Linked DNA regions of Alligator mississippiensis. The protein of the gene in region 2 interacts with the protein of the main gene of each other region in a pairwise test. Links are inferred from orthologs where the notes say so. Each region holds a gene or a part of one and is shown on either strand. Other genes may lie near its edges.

The links.
Region 1: the proteins of KCTD17 (region 2) and DMC1 interact in binary tests that used the Homo sapiens proteins (3 or more experiments, as listed by UniProt). The two-hybrid records come from large-scale screens. The link is inferred for Alligator mississippiensis from reciprocal best matches to the Homo sapiens genes KCTD17 and DMC1.

Annotation. Positions count from the first base shown.
Region 1 is NC_081827.1:99,497,502-99,505,103, reverse strand, and holds the start of DMC1 (meiotic recombination protein DMC1/LIM15 homolog), read right to left. Parts: upstream 3,174-7,602; 5' UTR 2,744-3,173; intron 535-2,743; 5' UTR 502-534; coding exon 445-501; intron 1-444. UniProt on the Homo sapiens protein: Participates in meiotic recombination, specifically in homologous strand assimilation, which is required for the resolution of meiotic double-strand breaks.
Region 2 is NC_081827.1:100,594,513-100,602,449, forward strand, and holds the start of KCTD17 (BTB/POZ domain-containing protein KCTD17), read right to left. Parts: upstream 3,191-7,937; 5' UTR 3,157-3,190; coding exon 2,941-3,156; intron 1,347-2,940; coding exon 1,238-1,346; intron 1-1,237. UniProt on the Homo sapiens protein: Substrate-adapter for CUL3-RING ubiquitin ligase complexes which mediates the ubiquitination and subsequent proteasomal degradation of TCHP, a protein involved in ciliogenesis down-regulation.

The DNA.
Region 1 (7,602 bases), about 1.1 Mb from region 2:
CACTGATCTAGATAAAAAAAACCCTGAATCATGCTCAGGAACCCTACTAAGAAAACCTGTATTGTGTTTCTCTTCTTCTCTACTATGTTTCAGGTTGATGACTTCTTAATGTAAGATAAAAGGTTTCGTAATCCTCTTACATTTGCTATAAAATAGTAAACAGTGTATCAATTATAATAATGACCAGCCTATATAATTAATCTCTGTATGTGCTTCAAGAGGTTAATAGAAAATAAGGACCAAGATAGGGATAAGATTGATAAGAAAGTAAGGAAATGAGGTTTCCTTTGCTTTCAATTGTAATAACATTTTCAATACCAATTACATGTCTTTGGTGATTGCTCCCCTGCACCAAGGATATTCTGCTGAACTACATACCATTCTGTGTGATGCCCTTTGCCAGCATTTGTTATGTTATACATATTTTATGCTATTTATAAATACCTCATCATCCTGGTATCCTGGTTCTTCCTGTACCACCTGATCTTCCATGGCTTTCATAGCGAAAAAGCAATCAGTAAGGCTTAGTCAGTACTGAAAAAAGCAAACAAATACAGTATTATGGTGGAAACAGGTAAAGCGATTATTTATTTATTTATTAATATATTTTATTGATAAGCTGTCCTCCCCAAAAAGGCTGAGTGGCTTACAATAAAAACAAGGTAAATTATAAAAGCAAATAATATTAAGATAAACTAGTAAGTAATAAAACAACTCTCTAAACAAAACCCAGAACTGTACCCCAAAATTTAACCTGCTAAGAGTCTGCCAAAAGAAGGTTTTATGGATTATATGGTTATACTTTTAAAACATATCCTCTCCTAGCAATGCAGCTTCTCAAATCTAAATTCAGATTCTAAGATTGGTCCTTCATTGCCTGAGTTAATAGGGGCTGGATGTGTTGCAGTAGTACTTGGCACCCAAATAAATGATAGTACCTGTTGTGTTATTTTGAGATCACCCACTCTTGCCAGAATGATTTTTAGCAGGTTCCAAATAGACCTCATCCCTTGCAAGGGACATGGATCCAGATTTGAGTTTGGCCTGGGAAAAACTTAAATTATAAATTGAATTTGTTCTGATAGAAATGTAAAAATGAATCATTAGAGTAAGGTGTTATCTTCTATTAGCAATCCAATTCTCTGTCAGTAAAAAGTATGAATATTTTAAGAAAAGCTGATAACAATGAAATAATGACAAGAAAAAGAATGTATGCTTGGAAAAAATATCCTAATTAGGCTATTTGAATTTTTACATAAAAGACTATTTCTACTGTGTGTGGATCTAATGACTTCAGCCATAAGATTGATATTCACTTATAGCCTATTCTTCATATTTCTGGAAGAAGTTCTCCTTGCTACCAACCTAGCAGATCTGGAAAAAGTAAAGTCAGTGACAGGACTTTCCAGATCAACCTAAAGAGACTTTAACAATCTTGTCATGCCAAATATTGGAAGAAGACAAAAACAAAGGTACGAAATATTAGGGATGTTACAACCTCCTTCCCCACTTTTTTTTTTTAAGAATTAATTTCTTCTCTGTCCTGAAATGCATGATTCTGCATTTGTTGCATAACCAAAAAGTCCAAAGACTCCCTTTTGGCCACATGTTATTCTATAGGGAAGAAAAAGCAGGGAGAGCCAGGGCAATGTTTTTGCTCCAGTGGGAGATGTGGAACTATTCTGCACCCTTCAAAATCATATAGCAACGTTCATATTCCCCCTTTTCACTAAGGAGCCTTTCACTGCTCCTAATGAGGCAACATAAAGCTTCACCACACCATACTAGTTATCCCTAAAATTTTAAACAGAGCAACTCCACACATTAGACACAAAATGCATCCTGCTAGCTAATTTATTTTAAGGTGTATCTTTTCTTAAACGTGCATGATATGGGTTGTTTGCTTGGTAAACTGAGATCAGGAGAGTTCCAGGATTAGGGAGCAAAACAGAAATAAATAGAGAGGAAGGTGGGAGCAGACAAAAGCCTGAGACAGCACGTAGGTAAGTGCACAGGTGGGTAGTTTTGAGAAGAAACATGAATGCATGGGTATTACCACTGCTGATTGCCCCACACTTCACAGGATGTCTTCAGTGTATTTATTTATGTCTATATTTGATTTATATGCCACCCTTCCCAACAAAGGCTCACAGTGACTCATAACAAGAGATCAGAATAACTTAAAAACAGGAGAACAAGAGGGCAAAACCAATTTAAAAGGGAATTAAAACAACAGAACTCCTCCCCGCCCCCAACCTCTTGTCCTAGTGTTGTTTGGTGAATGCATGCCCAAACAGAAATGAAGGGGCACATCCCATATTTCCCACTTAGATGCAGGAAAGTATGGCATTATTTACTTATCGGTGTGAGAAAGACTGGCTTAAATACATAAATTGTGCTTGATGCCACAACTGCGATTAAAGCAGATAGAAATGTTGCCTCTCTTTTTTTTTGACAGCAGGGTCAGGCCCCTGGGGACCTTCCTCCTCTGGGTTGCCTTGAGATTTATGGTGATTGATTCACAGGGGAATGGAGGATGATGAATCTTTCCTTGGGCAGGGCAGCTTGCTTGGCTCTTATTTTCCGGAAGAGAGGGTAGATATGCACCACTGTAGACATCCTTAAATAAGATACATAGAGCACATACTTTGGTGAACCCACATTACCCTTCATTGGGAGCTATGAACATCTCATAAGGGAACATTTGGTTCACCAAAGCTTGTGCTCTGGAGATGCCTCTTACTGAGTTAGTCTGTAGGTAGGTGTGCACACCTACACTGCCCGCTGACTGACTGCAACCTAACACGCTGAACTACCTCCCTCTTGTTTTCCAGTCACGCCGCCACGGGCTGCCATTGACTTCCGTGTCTAACTGTCCACAAGCCCCAATTCCCGTTTAAAACAAGGGGCATCAGTGACCGACGCCTGCTCTACAACCCCGAGGTGGCACGTGCCTCTTGCTTCCCTCAGTCAGGGACGCCACCCCGCAAAGCCCAGAGCCTGGTCACGTGACTCGGAGCCGAGCCCAGCCCCCTCCCTGACCGTTGATTCGTTTTATTTCAACTGCGAAGACAAACTGAGAACCCTTTTCCCGCCAAGAAAAAAAACCCACGAAAAATCGCCTAGTCGGCGATTTACGGCCACTGCCTCCCGCCCTCGAGCCAAGGGGCGGAGCCACAATGCCGCGCGGGCTCTGCCCCGCCCCACCCCCTGCGCGCGCAGCCCACCCCTGCCTCCGCCCCCCACTTGTGTCAGTGAGCGGGCGTTGGTTTTTCCCCGTGTGGCGCATTCCCTGCTGGAGCCTCTCCTGCATCTCATTAAGGCGCGTGGCTGGCTCCTGTTGAGGGAGGAGGGTTGTCGTCCCTTCCACGTTATGCACGTGTAGAAGAGCCCTGTCAGACCTTGCTTCAGAGAGTGAAACAGACAGCCGGTAGTCAAAACTGCAGGGACCTCACCATTGAAAGACCCCATCTGATCTTTGCATTTCCAAGAAAGGCCAAGGCATGGCAGGAGGGTACCTCAGGGGCTAACAGAGACCTGGTGGGATTCATCCCACGACTGGGCGGTACATATTGAGGGCTATAGATTGTACAGAAAGGACAGGTCGGGGAAGAAAGGGGGGGGGGTTGCACTTTATGTCAGTGAGCAATATACATCAGCCCTCATCAAGACAGAATCCAAGGTTGAGGAAGTAGAAGGATTGTGGGTTAGGCTACATGGGGGGCAAGGAGAAAGGGATTTGGTGGTAGGGGTCTGCTACAGACCCCCACACCAAGGGGAAGAAATAGATGCGGGGCTCCTGAGGCAACTCTCGGAGACCATAAAAGCTAAAGAGGCGGTAGTCATGGGGGACCTAAACTACCCCGACATCTGCTGGGAGACACAGACAGCAAAGTCCCACCGCTCACGCAGGTTTCTAACCTGTATACAGGACCTCCACCTGACACAGGAGGTGCATGGTCCCACTAGGGGGAATGCCATACTGGATCTGGTATTGGCAACGGGATGACATGATAGGGGACCTCCAGATCGGTAGCCATTTGGGAGACAGTGATCACCTAATAATAGAATTCAACATAAGACGTCGAGTGGGTAAGGTAACTAGTAGGGTGAAAGTGCTAGACTTTAGGAAAGCTGATCTCAATGCACTCAGGCGATTAGTCAAGGACGCACTGCAGAGTAGGAGCTTTGAAGGGATGGGAGCCCAAGAAGGGTGGCTGTGCCTTAAGGAAACGATCCTTTGGGCACAAAGCAAGACGATCCCCGAGTGAGGCAAAAAAGGGAAAGGGGCCAGGAGGCTTCCATGGCTGACCAGAGAAATCCAGGGCAGCCTAAGGGCCAAAAGGGGAGCACATAAAAAGTGGAAACAGGGTGAGATCACTAAAGATGAATATACCTCCTCTGCTCGTGCTTGTAGGGAGGCAGTTAGGCGGGCCAAAGCTACCATGGAGCTGAGGATGGCAACCCAAGTAAAAGACAACAAGAAATTGTTTTTTAGATATATTGGGAGTAAAAGGAAGGCCCAGGGAGGAATAGGACCACTGCTAAATGGGCAGAAACAATTGGTGACAGACAGGGGGGACAAGGCTGAACTCCTCAACGAGTTCTTTGCCTCAGTGTTCCTAAGTGAGGGGCACGACAAGTGTCTCACTGGGGTTGTAGAGAGGCAGCAGCAAGGCGCCAGACTTCCATACGTAGACCCTGAGATGGTGCAGAGTCACTTGGAAGAACTGGATGCCTTTAAGTCGGCAGGCCCGGGTGAGCTCCATCCGAGGGTGCTGAAGGCACTGGCCGACATCATTGCAGAGCCACTGGCGGGAATATTCGAACGCTCGTGGCGCACGGGCCAAGTCCCAGAGGACTGGAAAAGGGCTAACGTGGTCACCATTTTCAAAAAGGGGAGGAAGGAGGACCCGGGCAACTATAGGCCAGTCAGTCTCACCTCCATCCTTGGTAAAGTCTTTGAAAAAATTATCAAGGCTCACATTTGTGAGAGCCTGGCAGGGCAAATTATGCTGAGGGGAAACCAGCACGGGTTTGTGGTGGGCAGATCGTGCCTGACTAATCTAGTCTCTTTCTATGACCAGGTTACGAAACGCCTGGACACAGGAGGAGGGGTGGATGTCGTATACTTAGACTTCAGGAAGGCCTTCGATACGGTATCCCACCCCATACTGGTGAACAAGTTAAGAGGCTGTGATGTGGATGACTACACAGTCCGGTGGGTGGCGAATTGGCTAGAGGGTCGCACCCAAAGAGTCGTGGTGGATGGGTCGGTCTCGACCTGGAAGGGTGTGGGCAGTGGGGTCCTGCAGGGCTCAGTCCTTGGACCGATACTCTTTAATGTCTTCATCAGTGACTTGGACGAGGGAGTCAAATGTACTCTGTCCAAGTTTGCAGATGACACAAAGCTATGGGGAGAAGTGGACACGCCGGAGGGCAGGGAACAGCTGCAGGCAGACCTGGATAGGTTGGACAAGTGGGCAGAAAACAACAGGATGCAGTTCAACAAGGAGAAATGCAAAGTGCTGCACCTAGGGAGGAAAAATGTCCAGCACACCTACAGCCTAGGGAATGACCTGCTGGGTGGCACAGGGGTGGAAAGGGATCTTGGAGTCCTAGTGGACTCCAAGATGAACATGAGCCGGCAGTGTGACGAAGCCATCAGAAAAGCCAATGGCGCTTTATCGTGCATCAGCAGATGCATGACGAATAGGTCCAGGGAGGTGATACTTCCCCTCTATAGGGCGCTGGTCAGACCACAGTTGGAGTACTGCGTGCAATTCTGGGCACCGCACTTCAAGAAGGATGCAGATAACCTGGAGAGGGTCCAGAGAAGGGCCACTCGTATGGTTAAGGGCCTGCAGACCAAGCCCTACGAGGAGAGACTAGAGAAACTGGACCTTTTCAGCCTCCGCAAGAGAAGGTTGAGAGGCGACCTGGTGGCTGCCTTTAAGTTCATCACGGGGGCACAGAAGGGAATTGGTGAGTATTTATTCACCAAGGCGCCCCCGGGGGTTTCAAGAAACAATGGCCACAAGCTAGCAGAGAGCAGATTTAGATTGGACATTAGGAAGAACTTCTTCACAGTTCGAGTGGCCAAGGTCTGGAACGGGCTCCCAAGGGAGGTGGTGCTCTCCCCTACCCTGGGGGTCTTCAAGAGGAGGTTAGATAAGTATCTAGCTGGGGTCATCTAGACCCAGCACTCTTTCCTGCTTATGCAGGGGGTCGGTCTCGATGATCTATTGAGGTCCCTTCCGACCCTAACATCTATGAATCTATGAATCTTAGAGCAGTGATTCTCAGCTCCAGGGCACCCCGGGGTGCCTCGAAGTCCTTGTAAGGGTGCTGCAAGAGTGTTGCACTGTGGTAGCACTGTTGGGTGTGCACACACACCTGATTCACAAAATAAGCCCAGAGATTTCAAAAAGGAATCCATAATCTTAAAAGCAGCCTGACCCCTTATGATCTTCATGAGGTCTTTGCAGCAGTAGATTTGCTCTTTTTTTCTGTCATCAAAAAATGAGCAAAAACGAAGAGCTGGAGGAATGCCTTGAGTATAACAAGGGGTGACCGCCTTGAGCCTGTAAAGGTTGAAAACTACTGTCTTAAGGGCGTGTGTAGACGAAACGGCGGCCCTAAACTGAAGCGGTGGGTTTTTTCAAACAGTGCCCTTAATTTAGTGCCCTTTAAACACTTGTGTTGCGCACACACTGATTTAGCTGCTTCTTTGGTAGCGGGGAGGGGAGGGTGAGCTGCCGGCAGGCAGAGCAGTCCCTGGGCTGCAGGAGGGGGCTGACGTTGCCCTTTATAGTAGCAGCGCCCTCCCCACCATGGCCCCTGCCTGCAGGCACTCAGCTAGGGCAGCTCAGGCAAGCAAGCAGGCTCCAGGAGGGGGGGAAAAAAAGATCAGGCTCGCCACTTTCCTTGGGCGGAACCTGTCTTCCCAAGCTGCTGCCGGGCTGCCTGCAGGACATCCTGCAGAGCTGCACGGAGCCCAGTGCTTCGCTCCTTTGCTGTAGGGGCAGCCGACTAAAACTCAGGCCTCAAGTCATTTAAGGCACGTTACATGGCCGAATTTCCTACAGTGGCTGGAATTAATGCACAATATGCCGCCAATGCATACAAATACCGATACAAAGCAGTGCGAAAGCATTTAGCCGGCTTTAAAGTGTCATGTACACGTGCCCGTCGTTTCATCTACACACAGCCTAAGTGCGTCTACATGTTGCCTTATGTCGCTGTAGCAACGCGTTATGGCGATGTTGCGATCATGCGAGTCTCCACATGATCAGCAGCTACTCTGCTATAGCAGCGCACTCCCCCATTTTAGCCCGCTTTTGCAGTGCTGTAGTGGTGAAAAATAACCGCACAGTGTACAGCACAGTACAAGTAGTTACTGCATTATTCTTTAGTACTTCCAAGAGCAAGCACTAAAGCATGGCACAGTAACAACAACAAAGGTGACATGTAGACACCCCCCCCGGAACTAACTGGTTCAGAGACATGAGCTTTTATAGATAGCAACCTGTTTCTCTGACAAAGCAGGTTGTTGCCTAGCAAACCTCATACCTTACCTCTCTGTTAGTCTTGAAGGTAGAT
Region 2 (7,937 bases):
CACCAATGAAGACATTGAAGAGTACAGGTCCAAGGACCGAGCCCTGCAGGCCCCACTGCCTACATGCTTCCAGGTCAATACTGACCCATCCACCACCACACTCTGGGAATACCCCCCTATCCTGGCTGTGATTCCAGAAAGGGGGCACTGTTCAATGAGCTCTGAACCCAGGCCCACTGCTCACTTTCCCAGGGAGAGAAAGGCTCTCATTATGGGGTACACAACCTGCTCCCTCTGATTTACTGACTGAGGAGGTTGATTATAAGCCCCTGGCTACCTTTCTGAGGGCTTCACTTTGGCCCTTGGTTACTGTCCTGAGGGCTTCATTCAGCGGCCACTGAATACACTCTCAGTTTCTCTTCTGCAGAGTTCTATATGCTCAAGAGTGAGACCTGATTTCACTTCTTGTCATTGTCCTAGGACTACAGGAATTTGAGTTTTCCCATCTGGTCCCTGTCCTTCAGTGACCTTTGTCTTGCTGATCTCAGAACTGAATTGTGCTTTACCTCAAAGCAGATCAACAAAGATTTGTGTTTCACTTTAAGCTACTGTGTTTGCATCTGGCCCCTCTCCTGAGACACACGTGATCATGTTGCTAACAGGCCTGTGGGAGAGGGTAGGTGGGGGGCATGGTACCTAATGGGTCCACAAGGGGCAATGATGTCTCAAAAACAACCTTCACAGATTCCCTGGTCAGTATGCAGACATGGCAGGCAAGTGAGATTTGTCTGACCTCACCCTTCCCACTTTAACCCACTCAGAGCTTTTCATCCTCCTACCTTCCTAGTGGAAAAAGTGGAAGGGTGAGAAGGGACTGAGTGACAAAGCAGTCTCAGCCAAACAGGGCTCAAACCCTGTCAGGTTGCATTGGAGAAGGCCACCTGCATCCTATTTGATAATTCAGCAGGGAACTTACTATCCCTTTGACCACAGTGACCTTGTTGCTCCTTTCCCATCTCTTCTGATCCCCAGTAACTGCAACAGCCCATTCAACCAGCGGAGCAGTGATGGGGACACCAGCTTGTTCAAGGGTTGGACTCAAACTGGGCTTCCCTCACCATCCTAGTGGGCACTCCCTCCCAAGCACTTATTCAGTGTATCAAATGAAAACTGACCCATTTTCAAGACAGCAGAATGGAATGAGGTCAGGGAATTAGGGCAAAGAGCATGTAATGTAACCCACTTCCAGCAGCAGGGAGAGGTGTTAAGAAGGAAGTTTGGGGTTTCTAAGACTCACCCTCTTCAGCCATATCTTTATCCAGTACCAGCTTGCCATGACGGAGAAAATTCAGGATAGGTCCAAAGTATGTGGGGTCCCGGTCTATGAGGTAGGCACCAGTCTCATCCTAACCACAGAGACAAGCCAACATAGGAAAAATGTACAAGGGAAACTTGTCCCCATCCCTGACAACACCATGCAATGAACTGTAATAACATAATAATTTTAGTAACAATATATGATATTTCTATGGCTCTTTTGAGTAGTAGTAAAGACATGGCAATGGAGCTGGGTTCAGTTCTCTTGGCTATGCAATCTTGGGACATTTACCACAATCTCTCTGTGCCTCAGCTTCCCTATGAAAGATGAAGATGATGCTACCTCCCTTCTTTAAGAGATTTGAGATGAAGAAAACCATAAGCATTAGGCCTCTTAAATCCTTCCGAATCACATAGGCATACAGTACCATATAGAAAAACAGCCACATCTGAGTGAAGGGCTGCTGGTAAATGCTGCAGACAACAGTGCTACAAATACACAAGCTCAGGTACTTTGGCAAAGTCAGCATCAAAGCCAAGCAGCCCATCAGGCCAACACAGTTAAAGCACTCCAGTTTCTGCAGCCAACAGAGGGACATTATGTTCAGCTGCTTCTGGTTCTCCTGCCTAAACGAACAAGTACATATTTACAGCTGGTTCAACAGGAACAGATTCCAGCACAAGTCCAGCATGAGGCTCAAACACACAGCTTCAGGTTCACAGCAAGATGCCTTAACTACTATGTTATCATACTTTGCTTGGCAAAGCATGCTGGGTCAAAACAGTACCCAGGATTTTTAACTTTCATACAGAGCAAGCGGGACCTTGATTGTAAAGGTCTCACTATCCTAAGCTCAGCCCCGCAGCAAAAGAGACAATACTCTTACTTTTTCTCCCTCTGATAAACTGAAAGGATCTAGGAAACTCCTGCACAGATTTGAGCTGATGGGCTTCCTGACATTTCAGGCCTGAAGCTGCCACCCCTCCAAACTCTCCCTTCTGATTGATAAGGCTTTCTGGGAGCTTTACTACATTTCCCTGTCAGTAACAGCAAGAATCAAAAATAAAAAGTCGGGGACTCTCCACTCAGCATGGCTCCTACCTTGACAGTCGCATGAAGGCAAGGAGGATGGGAAGCTCTTAATTTTGGCTGTACTCGGCAAAGCTATTTCTCCTGTCAGGCTTCAGCTTAAAGTCTGAGCCAAGCAGTGGCTCAAAGCTAGGGCACTTCAGGTGGAGTAGTGACAGCACAAGAAAACAGAGCCTCTCTGGAGTTGCTGGTAGTTCTGGTGCAGAAGACAGGTGTTATGCCACATGTTAAGACAGCTGCATGGCACTAAAAAGAGAAAACCAGGGGATCCAGGGAGGGATGAAGGTCTCTCCATCAAATTACATCTGCCCCTCTGCAGCCGCAGAGATGCTGTGCCCTCCCTGCCATCAGCCTGGCTCCATCCCTTTCTCTCCTATTCCTGCACCGAACCTTTCTCTGCCCGTGTGCTCCTTTCCCTCTCTCCTCTTTTCCTCGTGCCTCCCAGCCCAGCCTGTGCAGAGCTTTGTCTCTCCCTCAGGGGTCCCTTTCTTCCCAGATGGGTACAAGAAGAAGGCAGAACACAACCGCATGCACGCACACACGATGCCAGGCAGAAAGCTACCCCTCAGGGCAGGTGCCAGCCTGATGCTTACCTGGTCCGACTGCAGCTCCTCCCCCTGGCACAAGCGGCACAGGAATGATTTCTGTTCCCGGCACAGGGTCTGCCTCGTGGTTAGGAAGATGGTGCCCCCAACATTCAGCCGTACCCACTTGCCCCTGCTGCTGGTGGCAGGGGGAGGCTGGTGAGTTTCCCAGGCATAAGAAACCCTTTCTGCCCGTTGCATTTCCTCCCTTCCTTCCATCCTCATCTCTCCCTCTCTCTGTCTCTCTCTGTCCCTCCCCTGCTCCTAAGCTAAAGAAACCAAGGCAGGTATTGGACACTGGAGGATTCTGGGACCTGTAGTTCCTGAGGTGGCCTGCACCCCAGAGGTGGCCGCATTTCAGTGGTGCTGTACATACACAGCTTCTTAAATGCTATGGGATCTTTTGGGAAGATAGATGCTGGATGAATGCCGTATCTACTGTTCTTGGTGAATGGCACAAGAAGCAAAAGTGAGATCCACAATCTGAACCACTGCTATCATTCAGAGGGCATTAGGATCACGGTTTTTGCTTACAGCCCTTCTCTAATTTTTATGAGTGTACTTGCTATACAGCACTTTGAAGAGGCAAAGTAATATGTAAAAAACTTTAGCTGTCAGGTGAGTGAGGGTCTCTCTGAAAATGGGCACCTAGGAATTCTGGGAACTGTAGTTTTCCATGTCCCACCATGCCTGCAACCCATGATGGGTGGACTTGGGAGATGCTGAGAAGTGCAGTGTAACACATCCCACTAACCCTGCTGTGGGACACCAAAGGGCTCTAGAAGCTGGCCTCCAGATCTGGGTCACAAATGCAGTGTGCTTTGAATGGAGGAGAAAACTGCTGTGCCCATCTGCCAAATAGTGTTATCCCTTCCAGTGCCTGCAGGACAGTCACCTTTCCTGTTCCTGATTCCCCAAACAGGTATCTGACTGCTATCTCAGTCACTGCAGTGCTGTTGAAGTAGAGAAGTTGGACAATTTCCTTCTCTGAAGTGGGTGGTTTTAAGAGAGGGAAATTAGCCTTCAGCAGCAAAGCCCAAGTTCTTTATATTTCTCTCTGACTCAGAACAGCCATCTATCTACTTGGCAAATTTTCCCTAATCTGCTACCGTTCCAACACCTCTAAATCTGCCTGGCAGAGACTCCTTCGTGGGGGGGAAGGAAAATGAGTCTCCATGTTCACTTAGTCACAGGGCTTTGCTGCTACCACACACACACACACACACACATACTCTCCAGTGTACCTCTGGAATGATGTAGCACCTTCTAAAAGTTTCTACCTCTAGCTCTTCTGAATGCCCCATTCTAGGCAGTGGTTGTGGGAAAGAAAAGACCAGCTTCATCAGCAATTTAGTTGCATGGATTCCAAGACTTAAGCAAAACACGAATGCTTTATCTATCCCACAACCCAGCGTCTACCACACCCTACTAACCAACTACAGCCACGCCTGCCAATCTTTCAAACCGTATTCATATCAGGAAGAAAAATGCTGATTGCTTCCCTCCCTTAGTCTGACACAGTCTATATCTTCTCTTACCTCTTTTCCAAATAGGTTTCTGACCTTTGGTAGTGCAACACACAAAATGCAGCAGCATAGACATTTTAATTTATCATGTCCAAATGTTGCCTTTCCAGTCCAGGCTGTTGCTACACCATGATATGCATGCTCTAGCTTTTGTTCTAATCAAGGATATGCATCTATATATTAATAACAGTGTTTGCAGGAATGGTGCTCAACCTTTTTAAGGCACCTCTTGGAAAATACTGGCTTTTAGTTTTCATTCTTTTTTGAGTATGGGAAAATAATAGAGCCATTTTTCTGTTGCAAATAAATCATATAGACCACAACAGGTCAGAATGTTTTTAACATTATGGATACCTAGTTGAAATCACTGGGTTTATCTTGTGAATCATTCTTGTACACCGAACAGTGCTACCTTTGTGTAGCACCCTACAACACCCTTGAAAGAAACTCACGGTACTCCAGGATGCCATCATTGCCTTAGGCGCTTTTGCTGATGTAATCGGGCACCAAACCCCTTCAAAATCATGTTGCAGTGCTAGATGTTAATATCTGAACAGAAATCACAGGCCTGACTGTGCACCTTCAAGGTGTTTGCAAAATTGGGCTGTGCTTTTCAGGCCAGCAAGTAGTGTATTGGGTGAGCATGGGCAGACTAGCATTACTTTGGGCTATACTGATTGCTCTAGGATAGTCTGTGAGGAAATTAAGGGATTAATAGCAAAGAAATTATGTTCTGGGAAGAAGAGAGAGGGATGGGAGGGGCAGAAAGCAGGAACAGGGAATTGTAGGACTGCTACTGGAGGATTTCCTATGCTTATTAGGCCTGTGTGAGTCAGCAGCAATCTGATCCGGCTTCAGATCTGGCCGCTTCGGATGGCCGCGATCCGATCTGGAACTCCGACTGGGTTCCCGCCTCCATCCAGCCAAAGCATCGGAGCCACCTCGGAGATCTGGCCATAGGGTATAATGGGGAATCAATGAAATATCTATAACTTTGTTGTTTTTTGTCTGATTTGGATGAACCTTGCAGGGATGGTAGCCTCTCCTGAGAGCATGAAACCTGCCACGTTTCAAGAAGATCAGTGCAAGGGTTTGGGAGGAACTGTACCCCAAATTCTTGAAAGCCAAACTCCTGTCATGTCTATGTGTTACAATGGGGTTGGGGGGTGGGGGGGGTGAAAACTGCAGGACTGGTAGCTCGTACTGTGTCCACAAAGCCTGCCAAGTTTCAAGGAGATCGGTGCAGGGGCTTGGTGGGAACTGCACCTCAAGCTGTGGTCAAGCAAAACTCATGCCATGGGTGATACTGTGCGCGCTAAGGCGCAGCGGGGTGACAGCTGCAGGGATGGTGGCCCCTGCTGTGGCCACGACGCCTGCCAGCTGGAGGAGATCGGTGCAGGCAGGTCTGGGGCCCTGCATCCCTAGCTGCTGACAGACAAAACTGTGCCAAGACTGTCTGTGTCTTGGGTTAGTTGATTGTCTGCTTTGATTCTTTCCTCTCCTTAGCCTGGGTTTGTAGGTGCTAATTGATGCTCGTTAAGTCGTTATGTAGTAGCTAGGTCCTGTGTATTGAGCTGGGCCCTGAGGCCCTGGTCCCTGAGAGAATCATGGATTGATTGGTAAGGGGGAACCCAGCAGCTTAGCAGCCAGGCCTGCAGCAGCAGTCTCCCCTCCCTGTCCCAAGACAGACACAGTCAGTCCCACAAGCACCCATGGCACCAGTTTTTCTTGTCTGCAGTTTGAGGGGCAGTTCCCCCCAACCCCCTGCACCGATCTTCTTGAAACTTGGCAGGCTTTGTGGCCTCAGTAAGAGCTACCAGCCCTGCAGTTTTCACCCCCATGTTGTAAGACATAGACGTGACATGAGTTTTGCTTTCAAGAATTTGAGGTACAGTTGCCCCAAAACCCCTGCACTGCTCTTCTTGAAACTTGGAAGGATTCATCCTACCTGCAGAGTCTACCACCCCTAAAAATGTCATCTAAATTGGACAAAAAACAACAAAGTTATAGGTATTTTATTGTTTCCCCATTATACCCTATGGCTGGATTTCCGAGACGGCTCCGAGACAGCTCCAAATCGCTTCGTGAAGCCTAATGAGGCCAGTGCTTCGACCCGGATCTGCCGCTTCAGACCCCGAAGCATCTGAATCTTCTCTGGATCCAAAGCTCTGTCCAAAGCCTCACACAGCCCTAGTGCATATACGCTGTAGCTTGTGGCTACAGGGTGACTACACCGAAAAATTAGGCTTGACTGTCTGGAGTCTGGGGACCCAGGAGTGCTGGGAGTTGACTACTGAGGTTCTGAATGTGTCTGGTTAGGGAGCATTGGCATATATATCTGGGCTTGCCCAAACTATCAGCACATATATATCCAGACATATGATGAGCTCACAATGAAAAGAGCAAGCCAGCAGCACCCTGACTTGCTAAGTGAGCACAGACTCTGGTTATTTTTCTCTTGAGATGACACCAATTCTAACTTGTTGCTTCCCTATAGAGTTGGGACATTAGCTCTTTTAAATGACTTTGAGAAAGGGTGTGAATTAAACAGAGATGCTGATGAGGCTGCATGTGGTACCTGTCCCCTTCACTGTCAGGGAAGGCAGTGGAAGCTTTTGCCAAGTGCCTGAGGAGGTCTGCGGCAATCTTAAACTTTGTAAAATAGCTCTGCTACCAAAGGTGATGCTGACATACAAAACAGAGAGAAACTATAGAGGGAGTGAGCTGAGAAGAGGGGATACAGTTATGCTGGAATGGCTACAAGAAAGAGGTTCCCCCTCTGAAAAGGAGGAAATAGGGGAAAATAGGGGAGAGTTACAATCTTTCAAGAGGCTTCTGAGTGTGGAACAGATCCAGAACCTGCCCCAAGACTGAAAGGATATGTGCATCATAGGGGAATGTGCAGATGGTTCAAAGACAGCCTAAAGAGGAGTGTCCCAGACATGAGATCCAGGTAAAGGGAGAGGAAGGTGCTCTAAACTGAGGGCATGTGGGCATGCCTATGGCAAGTGGGAGAGGCATCCCTCAACTGACTCCTGACATTTTATCGCCTGATGTAACCTCTCCCAGGGACTGGGGCACGAAGGACCCCGAGCCACATGCCCTAGGGTTAGTGCATCATAGCAGCCCGAGCAGAGCAGGTGAGATGCTGCTCTTCAGGTGCAGGTGCTCTGAATGCAAGGCCAGAGCAGGTAAATAATCTGCAATCAGACCCAGGATCAACAAGAGGTACCAGTCAATGTGGTGATATCTGAGGGATGGAAGTACATGAAAGCTGCCCATGCTTGGTCAAACCCTGCATGGTACCCTTCAATAACATCGCTGTCACAGTTCCAAGGTTAACTACATAAATAATCCTTTTATGGCATTCTCAAGAGCAGCTGATTAGATCTTGGGTCTCTGGCTGTCACCTGTTTTTGGAACAGAAAGTTGTATTCCACCTCTTCCAGACCGGAATTTTAAGGTGCAGTCCCCTGAGGT